Struthio camelus: one gene and its partner. The protein of the gene in region 2 purifies or fractionates together with the protein of the main gene of each other region. This does not show direct contact. Links are inferred from orthologs where the notes say so. Each region holds a gene or a part of one and is shown on either strand. Other genes may lie near its edges.

Region 1 (10,309 bases), on a different chromosome or scaffold from region 2:
TGAATTTTTATTAAAGAAGCAAAGTCATTTTGTCAGTGGTCTCATTCTTATTTTGGATTTAGTCCCTGACTTAAACATCGCTGAAATGACAAGAGGTCCCTCTGGTCTAATGATGCACCTTCGCGTATACACTTACGTAACTAATGGAACATAACTCTTCGGAACAATAGAAAACTCCATATTTTTTCACTCTAAATTGTTTCACAAAATACATTGAAACACATCTGCCACATGTGAGGTGTTGCCTCTTCCATCCAATAGGGAGAGCCAAAGAGCTTCTCTTCAGTGACCTCGATATTTGCATTTTAAGATTTTTTTATATTATACTCCCAAAAGTTTAAGATTAGACCTGTTGTTTGAGGTGTAGAGTTGCAATCTTTCCGTGGCTTAATAGCTTTGCTGGTGCAAAGCTGGCTCCCATTATAGCAGTTATTCTTGCATATTTGTGTCTTAGGCAATGGCCTTCTTCAGTAGAGTTCCTGAAAAGCTGTCTTTTACGACTAACACAATTTCTTGTTCTGTTTTATGCAAATGTTGATGTCATCCTATTCTTCTATAATTCTATACTGTTTATGTGACCATTCCTTCGCTTTCTTAAAGATGTCATTGTAAATTTACAGACTTTGCTATGTTAATGCTTATCTTTTCGTTTTTAAACTTGATGCCAGTGTTCTCTTTTTTTAACGGTATGATAAAGTGGTTACCCTTCTTGACTTCTTTTCTGCTTTACACAAATGCTTTTATTATTAGTACAGAACTCTTACTTACAGATGTCTCTAATTGGTAACTTGGATTTCAATACCATTAAATAATGAAAATAGTTTCTGTACACATTGCTGCACAATGATGTGTTTCTCTGTACCGGCAAAGCGTACAGCTCTTCCAAATTAACTGAATGTTTTTAGCTGGCCTAGTAGCTGATGCCATATAGAACACAGTAATTAAATATTTACTTGCTCTTGTGCACTAAATTAAACTGATTAACAAATCTAGCTTTGAGAGCAAATTTTTCCTGTGGGTATTTTACCAAGGTAGTACTTTTCACCTATCAGTGGAGAGAAAAGCAATCAAAGTATGTGGCAAGTAACCAAAACCTAGTTTTGTTGTACGTTCTGTAAATGACAGATTACTATTTTCAGCTAAGCAGCTGTTTTCTCATTTGTATTTATTTTAATTACTTTTTTTTAAGGAAAAGGGAGAAGCAAATTCCACTAACGCAGTCATAACAGGTCTACATCTATGTTACCAGCAGGGTTTGAACCACAGACTATTACGATGTGAGCTCAATGACAGGCATAGTCATCAGCTTCAGGGTGGAGCAACCTAGACAAGTATTTCCCCGACATGCCAATGTATTGCACACTGCAAGACAGCGCTAGTGTGCTGTATTTCATGATTTCTGGCTTCTATATCTTTCACTGAGGAATCATTTGTTTTTGTCTCCAGAGCGGGAGTACAAGCTCCGAAGTGCCACCAAGTACAAATGGTCAGTCATTTGGAAAAGGTGAAGGCAGAACTTGCTGTCTTACATCTTTCTCATGGCACAGAACACTACTTGATTTGGCAAGGTGGTGAACTCGGCAATCACATTTGCTTGTGTGTTATGTACTGACAGTATCAAGTACACTTTTTAGGTCTGAACATCAAATACATTCCTCCCTCTTCTCCTAGTTTTCCCCTGGCTCATTAAATGTGCTTTCCTTAAGAGTAATAGTGGATATTTACTGCACAATAAATACACTGGAGATAATGCTTTTGCACAGACTGGCAGACCCTGTTAATTTCTGTATTCCCGATTCTGGCTATTGAGAGTAATTTTCTTTTCAACAGAAAATGTGTGTTATAGAAAGTTTTGCTATAATAAAGTATTTATTAATGGTTAATACTATTATGAGATTCCCAACTTTCTACTTTAGATCCAACCATGAAAAATACAACTTCCATATTTATACAGTTAACAGGGAATATATCTCATGCAAATTTGAGGTGTTCTGCTTTGGAATAGTTGAAGTACTAACTTTTCTGACTTTAAATCTTTCTTACTGATGTTGGGATGGAGAGAGAGTTCTCTGTACCACGTATCTACATATGATATCATCTGATGAATCAGATGACTGTGATAGGTACCATTCACCTAGGAATATCTTACTTATTCTGTCAACTAATCGAGGTTAAAGAATGTTTCCTAACATTTTCCCCTCCTGAAGAGCTTAACATTAAATATGTGTTTTGCCAGGGTTTGATTCTTACTAAAAATTTGCATTAGAGTGAACATTTAGTCTTTTCATTTCCTATTTTCTGCAACTAGCTGACATCCTTCTAATTAGGCTGGTAGCTGATGATTGTCTATGTTGTGCTAAAAAACAGAGTTCAGTGTTGAGGGCCAGTGACAGAAGGCTAATGAAATACAGCTCTTTCAACCATTTCTAGCTTTCTATTTTAGCAAAGGCAGTAGTTCAATGTAATTAGTTGTATGTAGTGTGCAACGCTTTTCCTTTTTGAAAAATACTTTCCCATTTTCTTTACTAGCCATAACCGTGCGTTATTTGAACACCTTAAAGTAGAATGTTTAAGAATGGATGTGACAGTATTCTTACAGTAACTCAGAAAGGGATATTGCTGTTCTGAGCTTAGGCCCTCATGATGCTAATATTTGCTTTTCTGTTAAATTGTTAAAACATGAAGTCTTGTTATCATTGCCAGAGCTTCTTTCTTCAGATTTTACAGGACAAAGTCCCCTTTTAGACACTGTTCTTGAGCTTTCAAGTAATTTGATGTTCTGTGTGAAAACAGCACAACCTTCTGAAATTGCCAAATGAGTGATACTAATGAGCTCCCATTTTTAACTATTAATGTCTTCCTGTGGAAGAGATTACAGTCAGAAGAATTACACTCACTGCAACAACAGATTTATAATATTTGAAACTAAATGTTATCAACTCATTATTATAGCTGTGATTGTTGTTTATTTTAGTCTCATGCTACTCTGGTACAGATGGATCCCTAAGTCACCTTATCTTCCAAAATGTTTATATCTCTTTGTTCAGACAAGTTATTTTTCTTTAAATTAGATTATGTAAAAAGAATTCATATTCTCTAACTGGCTGAGAGTGAACGATAAAACTCAGTTCTGCTTATGCTGTGATATGTCTAAAGAAAAAAAACCTCCTTCTCCTCTGCAGTGGTTTGATGGGGCAGCAGATAGACACTTTCTTAGCTGACGATCAGAATAGGTAAATAGTTTCCATTTCTACGTGTATGTACAGATACTGTCTTCCAAGGCTTGAAAGAAGTTGACAAGAGAAAGATGACAGGATGACTTTCTTCTTTTTCCCGGGCCGTGCGGAGAAACTTGCATTACCGCTCTGCTGTGTGAATATATTGCTAATCTCAGTAAATGAGTATCTTTGAAGCACAAGTGTCACTCAGAACAACCCATCAATGACATCCAGATAGTTACGTTCATAAGTAAACATAATCCACACATGAAATGAATGGAAAATTGATTATTTTAAGCCTTGGAGTACTGCATCAAAACTGGTTTAAAAAGAGACTGAGTAAAATTTAAAGTGATGCTGTCAGGTTAAACGACTTGGGTCTCTCTTCCTGTCGTATGTGCACATTCAGAATCATGTGAATGGAGCTGTTGCTCTGGTGCCGTAAAATGACAGCCACGCTCTACCCTATGTAACTATTCAACTGAACAGATCTGAAACTTGCGTTGGTTTGGGAGCAGAGTAGTTCCGTAACTTCAGTGAAGTTATTGAGTTTATCCTAATGTAATAAGGAGAAACTTGGTCTCTTATCTTCCCCAGAGTGTGCTGTGCAGTGTTTTAATGTTGCTTAGGAATTAACAGAAATGTCAATCATGCTTTAACAGAGCCTAAAAATACCTTCTAGTCAAATGGATTGACACAGAAATACTAAAAATGTAAAAGGATCCACAATTCTTGTGGATTTTTATAGTTAGTTGCATGGCCATGCTCATGTATGAGGAGTCTCTCCTGGAAGGTGACATACTAATCAAAACAAGATACATTTTATTATTCTAGAGACTGTATAATACTGTTGGTTTAACATAGGCACTGTGTAAATAAGGACGTAGAATGAAGAGTTTTCGTGAGTGACTAATAAGTTTGAATATCTTAGATGTCAGTAGCCAAAATCAGATCCCCTAAATAAGGTCCAAACTATCTCTGAGCAGCTAAAATTACCAGTAGTTGCCACAAATCTTGGCAGTTGTCAGCATGAGGTGGTGTTGAGAGAACATAAAATTATTTAAAATGGCTTTGTGTTAGCTTCTGTGTCAGAGGCAGGCAGAGTCCTCTTTAACTGCTATGCAATCTACTTAAAAGACATTAAAGTAGAACATAAATGTAATTATAACCTTTCTCAGCGTGAAAAGCTTGAGGTTTCTTGTGTGCTTGATCTGTCAGCAAGTTGCTCCATCAGAGTACGTCATCTCATTCCCTTGTTTTCTACTGAAGTATAATATATGGATTGCATTATCCGGCCATAAAATAACACAAATGTTTTCCTGGATAGATTATTTAAAAAATATATTAATGGGGGGGGGCAGGAGTGCCAATTTTGCTTGAAATTTTTCTGTTAGATAAAAGATTTAAGTAATAATTACAGCTTTGAATATGTGCCACGTAGATACAGTACTGGGTAACTTCTTAATTATTTTCACAGGTGCTAATTACTCTCTTTAAAATTGCTTTAGTTGTTTCATCTCATTTAATGTTGTGTCACCTTTTTTCTTGTGGTAAAATGTGAATTATAAAACTCTTCCATATACATCTCTAGTAAGGACATAGTAAGTTCTTTAACGATTCTGCATGCTTAGTCTAAATTCACAAAATAAAACATTTACATTTCTGCTTTATGTCGCTATTCATTGCTGTTCTCTGTGGAGGGAAAATAAAGGAGACTTGAAGTTCTCTTAACGTATTTTTATCTTCAGAAGTCAAGCAGCTCTCTTAAGTATTCTTATGGTTTTATTTCCACAAAATGATACTAATAGAAAGACACTGTCAAATATGTTGGGCCTCAGATCTGGTATGTTATTTGATGTTAACAATTTAATAGTGAATATCCTGGTTAGTTGTAGCCTTTCTAGTCCTCGCGCAGGGAAACAGCTGTAGGAATCCTCAGCAGAAGAAGCTGTGAAGCAGCAGTTGTTCCATCATCCTTCTGCTTTAGGATACTGTCTCAGAAGTGAAGTTTTCTGCAACTGCTTTTGAAGTTCGGGTATCTATATCCTCAGTCATTACTTACCTCCTGTGATCTCCCTTTCTCCCTGCTGTGCTGCAGCGCTTTGGCATGGTAATGCTGAGCAGCCTTTAGGGCATGCAGCATGCCCCCCCCCCCCCCCCCCCCCACACTCCGTGCTGCGAGCCTCACCTGCCAATAGCCTGAGTGGAAGCCACGCAAAGCATCAGGACAGGCTTCTTCCCAGCGGTGGAAAAAACGCTGTTTAAATGTTCTCGCTTCTGATTCTGCCCTTTAGCATACATTCTTACGGAAATATTCTTTTTCAAGGTGTTTTAAAAGACTGGAATTTTTTTCCCAGTGGGTATTAATGTGTTAGATATTTAAACTCTATTGAGGCAAATATTCCGAGTTGTACCCTTGGTGCAAATGAGAAGACCGACATCTGCACATACCTAGAATGGTATATGGTACACGTGGCTTCTGTCTCATTAAAACTAATGAATTACGTTTGTAAAGCTGTCTACCTTACACCTTTATTTTCAGTCACTTGTATCTTGATTCTGTATACATAATAATGATTTTTCAGTATTTGCAATGTACATCCTCGGGCCATTTCTTGGACGTTTATGCAATTAGTTTAATGAACTTTGCTTGGAGGTTGCTGTGGGATTAGGAGTCACTACCGTCTTGGCTTGCCAATTTTACAGATTCCGTAGAGATCGCGCGCTCCGCAGTTAAGTTTTCTTACTCACTGTTTAAAGCCAAAACATGTTTGTGGCAAATTCACCTAGCTAACAAAACAACGGGAGAAAGCTGGTTGCGGTTATACTGTGTAAGTACAGTAATCTCCTGTCATCCTGCCTCCCTTTCGGCAATTGCCAGAACAAGTCACGTTTACGAGAGTTGTTTAGTGGTTTGTCTGGATTTGTTAGCAGTGCATTACTCGTTTAGGTAGGCTGTGTTACATGCCTTATTTTTTAAGAGCTAGGGCGGGAGCCTGCAAGCCCCGCTCCGCGGCGGAGTCGCGGCGCGCTCGGCTCGGCGCCGCGCCGCCCCCGCGCTCCCTGGCCGCCGCCGCCGGCACCGTGCCCCGCTCCGGCCGAGCCGCCCCGCCGCGCACCCCGCTCTCCTCCGCGGGAACGGGCGGGAGGCGGCGATCGCCAGCGCTGCGGACCCGGTTACCGAGCCGCTTCCTCCGGCCGGGGGAAAACCCGCCGTCCCCGGGCTGGAGAAGCCGGGCGAGCGGAGCCGGGCGCTGCGGCCCGCGGGCAGGCGGCGCCCGGGGCGCGGCGGGGCGGGCTGGGCGGGCCGCTGCGGCCGGGGCCCGGCCTCTGCCGCTCCGCGCCGCCCGCCTCGGGCCGGGCTGCGGCGGGAGCGCGGCCCGCCCGCGGCGGAACAGACCATTGCGGCTGGCCGAAGAGGTGAGGCACCTGTCACCCGCCGGCTGCCGGCGGCCCCAGAGCGGCGGCCGCGCCGCGCCGTGCCGTGCCGTGCCGGAGGGGGCGGGAGCGGGGCTGCGGCGGGGCGCGGCGGCTCGCCTCCTCCCCCGCGCCGCGCCGCGCCGCGCCGCGGGTGTGTGCGCGGAGCCGTGTCGGTGCCCCAACCGCCGCCGCCGCCGCCGCCTGCAATGGCGTTGAGGCGCCGCGGCGGTTGGTGCCTCCTGTCAGGCGGGTGGCGGCAGCGGCCGTTCTCCACGGAGGCGCCGAGCAGCCGGCGGCCGCAGGAGGAGCGGGGGCCGCGCTGAGGCGGGAGGCTGGCGGGTAAGGAAGCGTGCGCGCCGCGGGGAAGGCGCGGAGGAGCCGCCGCAAGGGGCTTTTGTTCCCTGGCGCCCGGCAGGCACAGCCGGGCCCGGCCGCGCCGCGCCGGGGCTGCCGCCCGCGCAGCCCTGCCCGCCGCAAGGTGCTGCCGCCCGCGGCCCGCGCCTTCCAGCCTGCGCGTCGCGGCGCTGCCCTCGGCGCTTTTAAGTTTATTTCCTCCCGCGCCCTTTCCCGCGAGCCGCCAGCGCGGCGGATGTCGCCGGGAGGGCGAGGATAGGGGGCGACTGGCGCAGGTACGCGGGACGGCTGGGCTCCGCTCCGGCCGTTGGCGCGTGCCGCTCCCGGCCGTTGGAGGCCGCGCGCCGCCGCCGCCCCTCAGCTCGGAGCCGCCGCGCCCTGCCCGGCCCGGATCCGCGGCGCGGCCGGGTGCGTTTCGCAGCGCGTTGTGCTGCATCGCCCAACGTGATGTGGCTTCGCCTTGCCGGGGTGGGGGGGGGCAGGGGAGGTGTGTGCGCGTGTGTGCGCCCCCCGGCGCGGTCCGGCCGCCCCGCGCAGCGCGCCGAGCGGGCGCCGAGGCGTTTGGCCGGCCGTGTGGCGCTGCGCGGGGCCCGGCGGCCGCGGGGCCCCCGGGGCCGATCCTGCCGGCAGCTGCCCGCGGGCGGCTGGCGGGGCGCTCCCCTGCGCCCTGCGGCGCTGGCGGCACTGCCGGCGGCCAGGGACAACTTTTCCTAACTAGGTTTCACTTTCTTTGCTGTTTGAGCTGAGAGCGTTAGCTGTGGGTGCAATTTTTCTGTTTCGCTCGAGCTCCTGTTTCATTTTGGAGCAGTCTTTCTGAGTGTGTTATTTGAGAGGGTATTTCTACCATTATGTTTCCCTGAGAGAAGAAGGGTTATCTTGCAGTGCCTCGGGGAAGCAGAACCATCGTGTTTGCATCGAGTTATTTTAGGGTCACATATAAGACACTCGGAGGGTTGTGGGGTTTTTTTGATTCTGCTTTTCTCTTGTCGCTGAGGAAGAGTTTGGTACGATAAAAGTAGTGGTATTTCTCTTGTCGCCTTGTTTTTCCTTTGCATGTTTGTGACGTGATACATCTTTGTGAACAGTTAGACATGATAATCCATGCTTTCACTATGGAGTGATGTTAGAGTTATTTTATAAATTTGCCAATTGTTCAGCAATCAGTTTGAAAAAAACTGTAATTACTTACAAGTGTTCATATGTTTGTGTGCTGCTGGGTTGTATTTTTTCCTTGTTTTGTAAATGTAATTTCAAATAACTATATAAAGGGAAAGTGTCATTTAGATTTAAGGAAGTACAAGTGCATGACATGATTCAGAAAGCCTTACTTTCTGTTGCAGGTTACATCTACGTTTGTTCCCAAAAGCCCTCCTCGGTCTTGCTGCTTTGTCACAATTGACTCCATATGTTTAGATATTTGCCTCCAGATCTTCTGTCAGGCACGGCCCTGCCGAAGAGCAGTGCTGCCTAAGAAACGCTTCTCAACCAGAATCTCAGTTGTAACAGGTTGCTGAGAGTGGTACCTCCGTAATTATGTAAGGTGGTTTTGCACTCCTGAAGTAAACATGATAAAAACAGAGTCTTCAGGAGAAAGATCAACCCTCCGAAGTGCCTCTCCTCACAGGAATGCTTACAGAACTGAGTTCCAGGCGCTGAAAAGCACCTTTGACAAACCGAAATCAGATGGAGACCAAAAAACGAAAGAGGAAGGAGAGGCCTCCCAGAGCAGGGGGAGGAAGTATGGCTCAAATGTCAATAGGATTAAGAACTTATTTATGCAGATGGGCATGGAGCCCACTGAAAGTGCTGGAGTTACCCCTAAAACAAGGGGAAAGGGTGGCCCACCATCACCTCAGAGGCGAATTAGGCCCAAAGAATTTGTAGAAAAAACGGATGGTTCCATTGTAAAATTGGAATCTTCTGTTTCAGAAAGGATTAGTAGATTTGATACTATCCATGATGGCCCTTCTTATTCTAAGTTTACTGAAACTCGAAAGATGTTTGAGCGAAATGCTCATGAAATGGGACATTCCAATCGCTATTCCCCAAAGAAAGAGAAAGTGGTTTCCAGCGAGCTTCCGGATGAGTGGTGCAGCTCTAAATCTCACAGAGGCAGCACTGATTCATTGGACAGTCTTAGCCCAAGGACAGAGACTGTCTCTCCAACTGTGAGTCAGCTCAGTGCAGTTTTTGAAAACACTGACTCACACAACGTAATTGTTTTAGAAAAGTCAGAGAACAATGAAGAATACTCTGTAACTGGTCACTATCCACTAAATCTGTCTTCTACCGTTGCAAGTATCTCCTCCCCTGTTGCAAACCTTGAGGGGTTCAGTCCTTTGAAAGATGCCGGCACGTGGTCTCCGCCAGCCAAACAAAGTACAAGCTTGGCATCCGTTGAGAACTCTCAGCAAAATAGCACACCTTCCCCATCAAGGCAGAAAACGTCTATAGGCACTTCATCGGGTTCAAAACCAACTGAAGAAATAAAAAAGAAAACGGAGGCAAGTGCTGATTCTGTTGATAGCTGTGTGGTGAGTCCACAGGATTTGGTCAATGCACCTGACAGTGAAAGGTCTGTGGACAGTTGTGCTAGGCATAAGTCAAAAACAGACACGGAAGTTTTGTTGCGACAAAAGGAACGATCAGAAAATGCAGAGGGTATCTTTGATAGGCCTGAAGCTTCAGAAATACCAAGAAATTTGGTGTCAGGTGGTGATTTTGCAGCAGATGCCGTTTCAGATGCTGCAGAGTCCCATTTTGATGAGACAGGTGAAAAGGAGGTAAATGAAGATGTGAGCAATTTCCAGAGTTCCCATGTGTACATGCACTCTGACTACAACGTATATAGGGTACGATCGAGGTATAATTCTGACTGGGGAGAGACTGGTACAGAACAGGATGATCAGGATGACAGTGATGAGGATAACTGTTATGAACCTGATATGGAATACTCCGAAATTAATGGATTGCCAGATGAAGATGAAATCCCAGCCAACAGAAAAATACAGTTTAGCCGTGCTCCAATTAAGGTAAAGTTTCCTGCATTTATTTTTTGCGATTTGGTTCATTTTTAAATGCAGCTTTGTTTGAAGCAGATTTTGACGGTTGTCTCTGAAAAGATTGCAGAGCATCTTCAGATGCTCATTTCTGTTACAGTCAGCCAGTGAGCATAACCCCAAGTGATGCAAGGGAGATGAGCTCTGAAGAACTTTGATTATTTCCTAGCATACCTTATGGCTGATGAAGCTAGCAGAAATGAGAATGACAGCTAGGTTTGCAAAGTTTTGAAATTGTGACATGCATGTTTTGATTTA
Region 2 (9,853 bases):
AAGGTTTCCTCTTGAGTCACTTCAGGCATCCCTGGAAACCGCTCTCCGGAGCCGGGTGCGAGTCGGCTGAGCCCACAAGAGCGCAGCTCAGCGCAGCTCCGGCTGCGGATTTCAGATGGGTGAAACCAGCCCGGTACCCGCTCCCGCAGCCGGGAAACTGCTACTGCTTATCCAGTCCTGAGCGCCGGCCACGCTCCCTCGGGGGCCTGCGAGACGCTGCGGTTTCGCACACAGCACATCCAGCCCCGACTCCACCTGCAGTCACGCGGACGCTGAACGCGGCTGCGGCAAAGGCAGCACGCGCTGAGCGGACCCGCTAAGGACGTCCTCCTCCACGTTTCGTCCCGGCTCCGAGGGATGCTGAGAGCAGAGGAAGCTCCAGGGCAAAGCAGCAGTTTGCAGTGATGTGTCCGAGCTACACGGACGAACCAGGCGGGAATGCAGGGTTCAAAGCCTCCGAATCCTTGCGCGTACCTTTTGGCTCAACAATATGTAACAGCAGCCTGGCTCCCGAAAATCTGCCTGCCTCACTAAGGGACAGCTGAGAGGAGGAGGTGAGAACAGAAACAAATAAACAAACACACGTGGCAGCTACCTCCACAATGGACCACGTTTTCAGACACTGCAAAGAAGCAGAAACTCCAGGCGTCCGACTGGAGTCAGTGGGACTGTTCTGGATTTGCAGGAGCGTAAGGGAAACCCAAACCTGGACCAGCAAAGCCACCATGCTCTGAGCACTTCTGACCTTTGGTGCTCCTGGGACACCGGCCTCCTGTAAGCCGGCAGGTATCTGCAGGCCAGATGCCCTCTTCCCACGTATTTCATCTGCGTTTCAAATTTCCTGGTGGAGCCAGTGATGCCCAGGGTGTGCTGAAGATCTCCAGCTCGTTCCCACTTCTCTTGTGCCATGATTGCTCTCCCCCCGCGGCACTCAGAAGCGCAACCACCGTTTCACAAAGGAAAAATCAAGCTAGAACTGATCTTCATCTTATTTCTGCTTCCATGCTCACCTGACAGCCCTCCTGGTCCTCCACTCTCATTGGTTTTAATTAGAGAAAGAGTTCATCCATGTCATGAGCATGTTATGTCGGGGTAAAATCAGTGTAAGCGAAGAAGCCAGCTGTGTCCCAGCCCAGCCACTTGCCAGTCCCGGGCTGCTAACACGCTTTTCTGGCCAATGCAATGAAGAACATCCCTGAAGTGCTTTCTTCAAGCCACGTGAAGTCAAAGCTGCCCAGAATGTCCCCTTAACCTTTCCAAGGTGCGGTGGCCTCTCCCCCTCTTGCAGTGTCCACTCCACATGGTGGGAAAATTGAAACCCTCTGTAACGATGTCTGAGCAAGCAGACCGAGAGGAGAGACGCTCAGCGAACCCCTTCGCTCCCGGCTGCCTCTCTCCTCCGCAGCAAAGACAAAAAGGAGATTATGTTCGCCCTGCCATGGACCAGCTAAAGGAGGACTGAAAAGCCCTTCGCTGGACGCGTAGCGCTGGCTGCTGCGCACGTTGTTTTCGTTCCCCGTCCTTGAATGGCTCCGTGGCAATCAGCTGAGCCCCACGGAAACCCGCAAAAGCTTTCTAGCTAGTTATGAAACTCGGCCTTTGGCAGAGCACAGAGATTCCCGGCCCAAGAGGGGAAGACAGGGGCTCCGGTCCTTGCCAAAATAGCGTCAACTGATCCATTACGGCTGTTCACCGCTTAAAGCAGGACAAAGTCTTCTTTAGCCCCGTTTCCCCTCTCAGTCTTAGCGATGGACCGGCCCTCCGCCACGCTCGAGCAGGGATGCGCAGCTGCGGCATGACGCGCCAATCTGCTCTTCTCCAAACAGGTCTTGTGCCTGGTCTAGCCTCAAAAGCCAGATCCCTAGAACACACTCCTTGAGAGGCTGGAACGTGCTGGGTTTTTAATCCAAATAGCTATAGCAGGAAAATCCTACTGTGGTCACAGCTGTATCAGAAAAAAAGTGACTTAGGACATTTTTATATGAGAAGGGTTTTACTGGTAGTATTTTTGCCAGTGTGAACTTTCCAAGACTTACCAGCAGAACATTTTCCCATCCAAAAATACCTTTCATGAGAAAGCCTTGAAGTACATCAACTTTGACAAAAAAAAGGTAGGAGGGGAGGAACTGCAAATAACATTTCTACCATGTCTCAAGATTTTTCGAACAGAATCTTTTAACATGTTTTATCGAAAATGTGATTCTAACAAACTTGAGATAGGCTTGTCATTGTTGTTGGCAGTTTCCTTTGCTGGGAGATTTCAGAGGGAAACCAACTGCTGAGACTGTGAAATTTTCGGCTCCGTGGAAAATTCAAGGCCTGGCTTTTGGGGGAGGAGGGGTGGAGGGGAATACGGGCGCTATGCGATGGCAAACGGCTGCGCAGGCAAAGGCTGGGCGCTTTCCCCCAGAGCAGAGAGCGGACTTCTCCCACAGCCTCAGGGTCAAGGTGTTGCACAGGGAAAACAAGGCTTCCTAATTTTCTCATGCGTGGGCTGACGACTTCAGAAAAGCAAAAGTTTGGTAAGCAGGGAGAAGGGAGCGCGGGAGGCGCTCTGCCGTTGGCGTCCGGCCTCTGCACTGGGTACAAATCCCCCGTGAGCCCCAGGGCGAAGGCAGCGGCTCCGGAGCAGCGGAAAGCCTTGCTCTCTCGTTCGGGTCCCTCGCAAAGGACCTGCGCGCCCGCCTGCAGCTCGCACGTCTTGTTGCTCAAGGCAGATCAATGCACTGTATGTTTTGTAAATAAAACAGGACACTAAGAAAATACCTGATTCTGCGTCACCGACTCCTTTCCAAGCAGAACACAGACCCCTACATCTCCAAAGCAGCCTCATGGCACTGCCCAGCTGCTCTTCGTTTGCCTGAAAAATTGCCACCGTCTGCCCCCAGACTCTGGCAACATCCAAAATTTTGGGGTCAGTGAAATACTTTAGGCATCAGGAATAAGAGGCATCCATAAAAAGTTTATCTTGATCATAACAGCAGGCTATCTGGATGCAAACAGTACGAGCTATGAAAACATTTAAATCATATCTGAATATCTAGTCAGGAGAAACAACATTTGCCCCACATTTTTTATTCTTCCAGTGTTTGAACAGCCCTTGTAGATCTTTGTTTAAAATGTACACAAACACATTGAATTTCACGGACTTAGCAAATATGTAATCTAAAGCAAGGGGAAGCGTGGGTGACTCGCATTTCTTAGGATCCACCTACATACTGGAACAAAAAAAAAGGAGCGTTTCATGATTATCTATACATGTGTATATATATATATATATATATATAAGTATATAAAGATATTTATACATCCTATCCCCCAACAGCCCAGAATACGAGCAACCCTACAATAAGCAAAGTAGTATATGCATGACATGAGGAGGACAAATCAGGAGGGAAAGATATTTTATCCTGAGGCTTCCAAGGAATGTTACTCAAGCAGTGATTTATTTGTGGAATTTCAGGAGGGGAGGGAGGACGAGACACAAAGGTCTCACAGCTGCAAGCAAGATAAATCGTACATCATCGTGTATTTAGCAAACTATAATGCAAACTGTAGACAAATACAAGGAAGGGGGAAATATATGAACTCTAAGTTGAGAATTATCAAACGCTTCAAGTCTGCATGCAGCGTTTAAGGGCAAAGGGATATCCCTCATTGTTCCCCCTCTAGAAATAAATCATTGTTCTGAGCAACACTGGAGGAAAAAAATAGTTTCAGGATATTTAACACCTTGGCTGTGTCCCTTTTTTAATCAAGAGAAGCTGTTGTGGGGTGAGGCTTGTTATTTTCAGCAGAGAAAAATTAGCTTATTAAAAAATAACATTGTGGTGGCTTTTTAATAACTGTGGCTCGCATGGAGTTTACTGCTGTTAAGTAAGCGTTCTCATTTTTTGTGTTGATATAGCAAAAATGTAAATGCAAAAGACCTTGTGCAAAAATACAGTTTCCCCTCCGAACAGGAGACCAAGCGTTCCCAGCTGCTGCCGAGACCCAGGAGCAGAGCTGCAGCAAAGCAGGCCGGTTATCAAGGTGATATTGGGGTCTGAATATATTTCCCTCGCTCTGTCACTTCTCTCACTTCCCCTTTGCTATGCCTCTTCTAACGCAAATTGATGGTGCTCTGAACCTTGCCTGATTTGGTTCATCAAGTGAGATATAGTCTCCTCTGAAGGGCCTGATCCTTCCTTCCAGGAGTGTGATGTTCCCGATAAATTTCCATGCGCAGAGGATTAAATCTCCTGGGTCACATGCTGGAAGGTGCTGAGCTCCCCCCCCCAATTTCCCCGAGCATTAACAGGAGTGAAAGGGACTCAGCGTGCCGCAGAAGGTGCTCAGATCCGTGCAGGACTGGTCCTAGGGGAGGGCGTCAGGGGAGAGGGAGTAACAGCTGAAGGATGAGATAAGATGAAGACATTTCCAGCAAAGAAAACAAGGACAGGAAGGTTTCTCTGGAAACGCAGCACCAATTTCCCTCTTTGAACAATTCAGTTAAGTCCAAAGGAGTTTGCTAGAGAAAAACCTGCCCCACAGAATTAGCCGGGATTTGAAAGGAAAGCCTTTGGTGCGAAAGAGCCAGGGAGGGGAGGCTGCCCCTGGGAAGGCGCAGCCCAGGAATAGATGTAAATCTGCAAATGCTGTCACGTTGAAGTAAACCTGGAGTAACGCTATTGTCTGCAGCGGGGTTGCTTTGGGCTTACACCAGTGTGACCGAGATTAGCGTACGGGCTCGGGCGCGCTCATTACGATAAAGCGCTCGCTCGGGGAACTCGAATGTCGAAGCCGCGTTTGGCAACGGCCAGGCGCCCGCGTCGCAGACCGCCTGGCTCTGCGCCCTCTCCTTTCCTCCCTCACGCTGCCTCCAAGGTGTGCTGAGGCTGCAAGTCCTTTGCTTTATCACCCTCCCGAACCTGAACTCTGCTCTGGCCCCACCACGGTAATAAACTGTTATATGAGTATTATGTAACTGTCAGCATGAGGAATCTGGCATGCATAGCATGAGCAACGCACACGGGGAGGAGGAAAGTGGTTGACACAGCCATCCCTGCAAATTAAAGTAGGAGTAAATAAAGCAATTAAACAATATTCAATCAGAGATGCAGACTGAACGCTAGCAAAGGCCTGCACAGCCCCATCTCCCTTGCAAACGCGATCCAATTTACGAGCAGAACCTCGCTTAATTGCTCGCGGCCAAGCCTTTGCCATGCACGAATAAAATAATAATGGAAATGTGAAATAAAACAGCAAGGCGCTCTGGAAAAAAAAAAAAAACGCTCATTTCCCCGGCCGGCCCCCTAAGGATTTCAAAGCGCTGCACAGCGGTACTTAAAAGCAGTCGCCCGGGGAGAGCCGCACGCACCACGTTACTCGGAGGCCTAAGGGCGCGCGCCCGCCGCAGAGCCCCTCGCACGAGCGCCCAGAGCCGCTGCGGCGAGGCAGCTTGGCGTGACCGCGCGCCGGCCGGGCCTCGGCGCCCCGCTGCCGCGTTTCGGCGAGGGAAAACACCCGCGCTCGGTGTTATTTCGCCCCGTTTTGCGGGCCGGGCAGGTGAGGCCGAGGGGCCCGGCCTGCGCCTCGCCTCACGGGGGGCAGCTGGCCGCGGCGGGCCTCGGCCGTGGGGCAGGGCCGAAGGGAAAAACCCCTCGTGGGAGCCGCATCAACGGCTCCCTGCCAAGGGCCTAGCGCCCGCCAGGCGCAGCCCGGCCGCGGCGCCGCACACGCGAGGCCGCACACGCGCGGCGCCCGCTCGCGCCGGACTATTTCGCCTCTTCGCGGCGGCGGAAGGATCCCGCGCGTGCAGCACGCCGTGACGCGCCGCCCCGCCCTCCTCCGCGTGCTTCCCGCGCTGCCTATAAAGGGTTTCCGGTGAGCCGCGTCGCGCCTGTAGTATCCGTGCGCCGGCCGCGCTCGCTGAGGGGAAGGCGGCCATTTTGTTCAGTGCTGGGTCTCTGCTGAGAGCGGCGGCCGAGGGGGGGCGGGGGGGGGACGGAGCGAGAGAGGGAAGAAGGAGCGCGGGGAGGAGAAAAGGAAGGGAAAAGACGAGAGAGACCGAGGAGAGAAGTCAGGCCGGCCAAGCAGCGAGCGGAGGGAGGGGAGCCGCGGGGAGGGGTCCGCCCGGCCGCTGAGAGGCGATGGCGGATATAGACAAGCTGAACATCGACAGCATCATCCAACGGCTGCTGGAGGGTGAGGGTCCGGGCGCGGGGGGAGCCCGGGGAGGGGGCGGAGGCCGAGCCGGTGCCCCCGAGCCCACCGCCGGCTCCGCCGCGGGGCTGCCCCGGCCCCTGAGCGCCCGCTGGGGCCGGGGCACCAAAATGGAGGGGCGCCGAGGCGCTTTGTCTTGCCGGGGCTCGGCGCCGCCGCCGGCCCGGGCGCCCCTGCCCTCCGGCCCCAACTTCTCCCCTAGCCCTCATGTTTCCCGAGCCGTCCCTGCCCTCCCATCCCCTGGGTCCTCCCGGTGCAGGGCTGAGACCCGCCGGCTGGCCCCCTCCTCCAGCCCTGCAGCTCTACGGAGATGCTTAGCTGAGTAAGGTTTTCGTAGGGGAGTGTTTAAAAACCTGAATGCTTAAGCTTGCCTTCGCTACACGCGCACGGGGTCTGGGCTTCGCTAGGTAGTCGTGGGGCTCTGGAAATTAAGCCTTCCCATGTTTAAAGAGTCTGTCGAGGCAGCTTTTCAGAAAGTCGACAGGGGACTTACCTGGGTTCAGGGTATCATATTTTTAGCGCTGATTAACTGCTTGCATTAGTACTACCATTAGACTTTAGGTCTTAACGCGTAACATATGGTGGCTTTTAAAACGCGAATTACAGGTTGGCCTTTGCTCTGTTTTAGACGATATTTGGAAGGGCTTATTGTCCTGTATCGCTAGTGCTTTGGGTTGAAAAGAGTTGAATGGAGTTCAACATCTAAGGAAAATCTAGATGTTGCAGGAGGTGTCAGCAGCGTCTTCCCTTTGGTTGTAAGGGTCAGGATCAGGTTAGAATTGTCAGCTAATCTTTCCTAGGGCAAAAGGTTGAGAAGCAGCCGATGACAAATTTTCTTCCTAGCACCAAGAAAGATTATAATTATTTAGAGAAGGAAGCTAGACTGATCCAGCCTCATTTTAAGTGTGTCAGAGCAGGCATCTCATCTGGATTTTTGCTTGAAGAGCTTGGTCAGGCATTTAACTTTTTTGTTTGGCACAAAGTCATCCAAGATTTTGCTGAGACAAATAGTGAAGAAATGCCTTTGAGCGCTCTCCCAATTTTTTTCTTGTAAAATTTCACTAAATGTCATGACCCGAATAATAATAGGCAAGGCAAAGGGGCAATAGTGCTTCTATAAAATTGGTTGGGATTACAAATCCAGCGGGTGTATTTTGGGATTGTTCAGCTAGAATGAAGAAAAGTAAATAGTGTTTTTTCTCTGATCTGTTTTAGGTTTTGCTTGTTGCCAGTTTAAACTCTCCTGATTTAAGTTGTTTGGAGGCTTCTGTCTGTAATTTAAACCAGTGTTTTCCTGATGCTCTAATACACTTTGTAGGTATCAGGTCCTGTGTGTTACATGCTTGGTGACATATTAATAGATGCTTAATTTTATTGCAGATAGTATAATTTTTATTTGATTTGCTGTAATGCAACTCATGCAGTTTTCTCAAAGTGCAAGTTACTAATATCAAAGACTTGAAATAAGCCTAAAAAAGGTCTGAATAATTTGAATTATTTCCCTTGTTCTGGATTTCAACAAGTAATAAGATGTATTATATCAATATGTTAAATTCTTACCTGGCTTGTATAAGTATTGTACATTGAGAGATGAGAGCTTATAAATGAGGTTTCAGAAGCTTCACTGACAAGATCTTTGAGATGACTGTGTAACAAAAGATATTATTACCTAGGGTTGCGTCAGCTGTCAGAACTGAAATAATTTTTTTACTTTGACATTTTAGTTAGAATTTCTGATTTCTTGGGGCAACAAATGTCTTTTGGTATTTAAAACAATTATGAATGTTAATAACCCATGGCATATTTACACCTATATATTTGTCTTGTTTATTGCTTATTGAAAATATATTATATAAGGTATAATACAGCTTTCTTAGAGCAATGGTTGACCTTTGTGACAATTTCTTTTTTTTCCAGAGAGGGCAAAATGATAATGCGTTTGGGCTAGTGCTGCATTCTTGATAGACTGCTAAATTGTGTGAATTACTGTGCAAACGCCATTCTCTCTGTAGTTGTTTGAAATTTTCTTGACTCATCTGTTTCCTGAGGTTATTAAGATACAGCTAGGTAGATGACAAGATTGATCTAAAGGGCAGCTCTGCGTGGTATCAAAAAAACCAAAAATCTAAAGGGTGTGTGTAAGAGAATTTTTAATCCTTTTTAGATTTGGACTGAGCATGAGAAATTTAAGACATTTGTATGTAGTGTAGTGTTCTTTTTCAATATAGTTCTTTTTCAGTGCAGTTTTAGTAGAATTGCATCATGTTCAGTTATATAAAGTTTGGTATGTCTGTACCCAGGATTCTGCTCCCTTTTCGGGCTGGATTCTGCACTGATTAAAATGATAGCCAACCACATACTCACTACAAAAACTCTTTTAATAACTAGCTGACTCGCAAATTGAATTGCCCAAATCCTTGTTCAAGGTTTAATTTTTAAATCAATTTGATATTTTACCAGTTATACCTATCTTTAAACTGTATGCTTATGTATTTTTATAACAGTTATTTCAGGTGATTTTGCTTAAAAAAAAGTAAAGATATGAATATGTAATGTGGCAGTAATCCCTTCTTCCTTTTTAAAGGTAATAAAATCAATGTTATGGAGATACTTTATGAAATATTTCAAATCGGTAAGAAAATAGTGGATATTTGTATTTTATAATATGTCTTGGTGTATTGCACTGTTGGATGAGACCCAAAGAGTTAAGCAGGTAGTGAATCTAGTCTAATTGTCCAGGTGGAGTGAAGTGGTTAAATGGTGAATAATAAATTACTCTAGCTTTTGTTCTTAATATAGGGTATTAATAATGTATTTGTGAGGGGGTTTTACTTGCTTTCTATTCTGCCATCTCCTCTTATAAAAATTGAGACAATTGTTCTTATCAAATGACATTATTCTTACTTTTTCCCCAAATAGTTGATATATCCCACCCACATTAGGCTATTTAGCTGAAATTACTAGATTATCCTTTAAAAGGCTTGGAAGCATCTATTTGGCTTCTCATTCTAAGGTAAATATTTGGAGAGTCTTTTTTTCTCCAAATGTTTATAGTACAGAGCCATTTGGCATTGAAATGTCACCAAAAACATTTTTTCAGTGACATTGTTCTCAACCTTGGAGAGCGGCTTGATGAAAACATTGAACATAGTGATCTTTTTTTTGTTGTAATTGAATTTATATTTTATTTGCCTTACTCCTTTGCTAATGAGGGTTATATTCTACTAGGAACAGTTTGTCTAATTTTGTCACTTCTAGTAACTTTCCTAGCAATGATTTTCACAAGAGCAAGGCTTTCCAGAGTATAGTAAATAACAGTATGCTCCATTGAGTATTGAAATGTTTCCTCAATGTCTTTGATAGCGGATATAGGCTCAAATATAATAGAGCAAGCTCACTTTACTGAGGAATAAGAAAGGATAAACTTGAGGGCAAATTATCCTTCTCCTGGAAGGAGTATTGTAGGCAGTAACCACTTGTAAAATTAATAGTTCTGAGCTTGCAGCTGTATATGTCTTCTAAATCGGAACTGCCAGGAGTCAAGAAAAATGCCGGCAAAGCTCCCTGTAAGATGAAGAGTTAGGAGCATCTGTATAGTCATGGAAAGAGTTCCAGGAAATGGCAGAATTCCTGCTCTACTGCAGGCAAA

What was found. The genes of interacting proteins can lie anywhere in the genome.
Region 1: the proteins of PPP1CC (region 2) and PPP1R9A purify together in Homo sapiens (affinity purification with mass spectrometry; 6 studies listed by BioGRID and IntAct, counting the BioPlex papers as one, with this or other methods). This does not show direct contact. The link is inferred for Struthio camelus from reciprocal best matches to the Homo sapiens genes PPP1CC and PPP1R9A.

Annotation. Positions count from the first base shown.
Region 1 is NC_090943.1:28,570,706-28,581,014, forward strand, and holds the start of PPP1R9A (neurabin-1), read left to right. Parts: upstream 1-6,542; 5' UTR 6,543-6,638; intron 6,639-6,721; exon of another isoform or gene 6,722-6,977; intron 6,978-7,175; exon of another isoform or gene 7,176-7,267; intron 7,268-8,332; 5' UTR 8,333-8,557; coding exon 8,558-10,024; intron 10,025-10,309. UniProt on the Homo sapiens protein: Binds to actin filaments (F-actin) and shows cross-linking activity. Binds along the sides of the F-actin. May be involved in neurite formation. Inhibits protein phosphatase 1-alpha activity.
Region 2 is NC_090958.1:18,079,749-18,089,601, reverse strand, and holds the start of PPP1CC (serine/threonine-protein phosphatase PP1-gamma catalytic subunit), read left to right. Parts: upstream 1-5,844; 5' UTR 5,845-6,131; coding exon 6,132-6,186; intron 6,187-9,853. UniProt on the Homo sapiens protein: Protein phosphatase that associates with over 200 regulatory proteins to form highly specific holoenzymes which dephosphorylate hundreds of biological targets.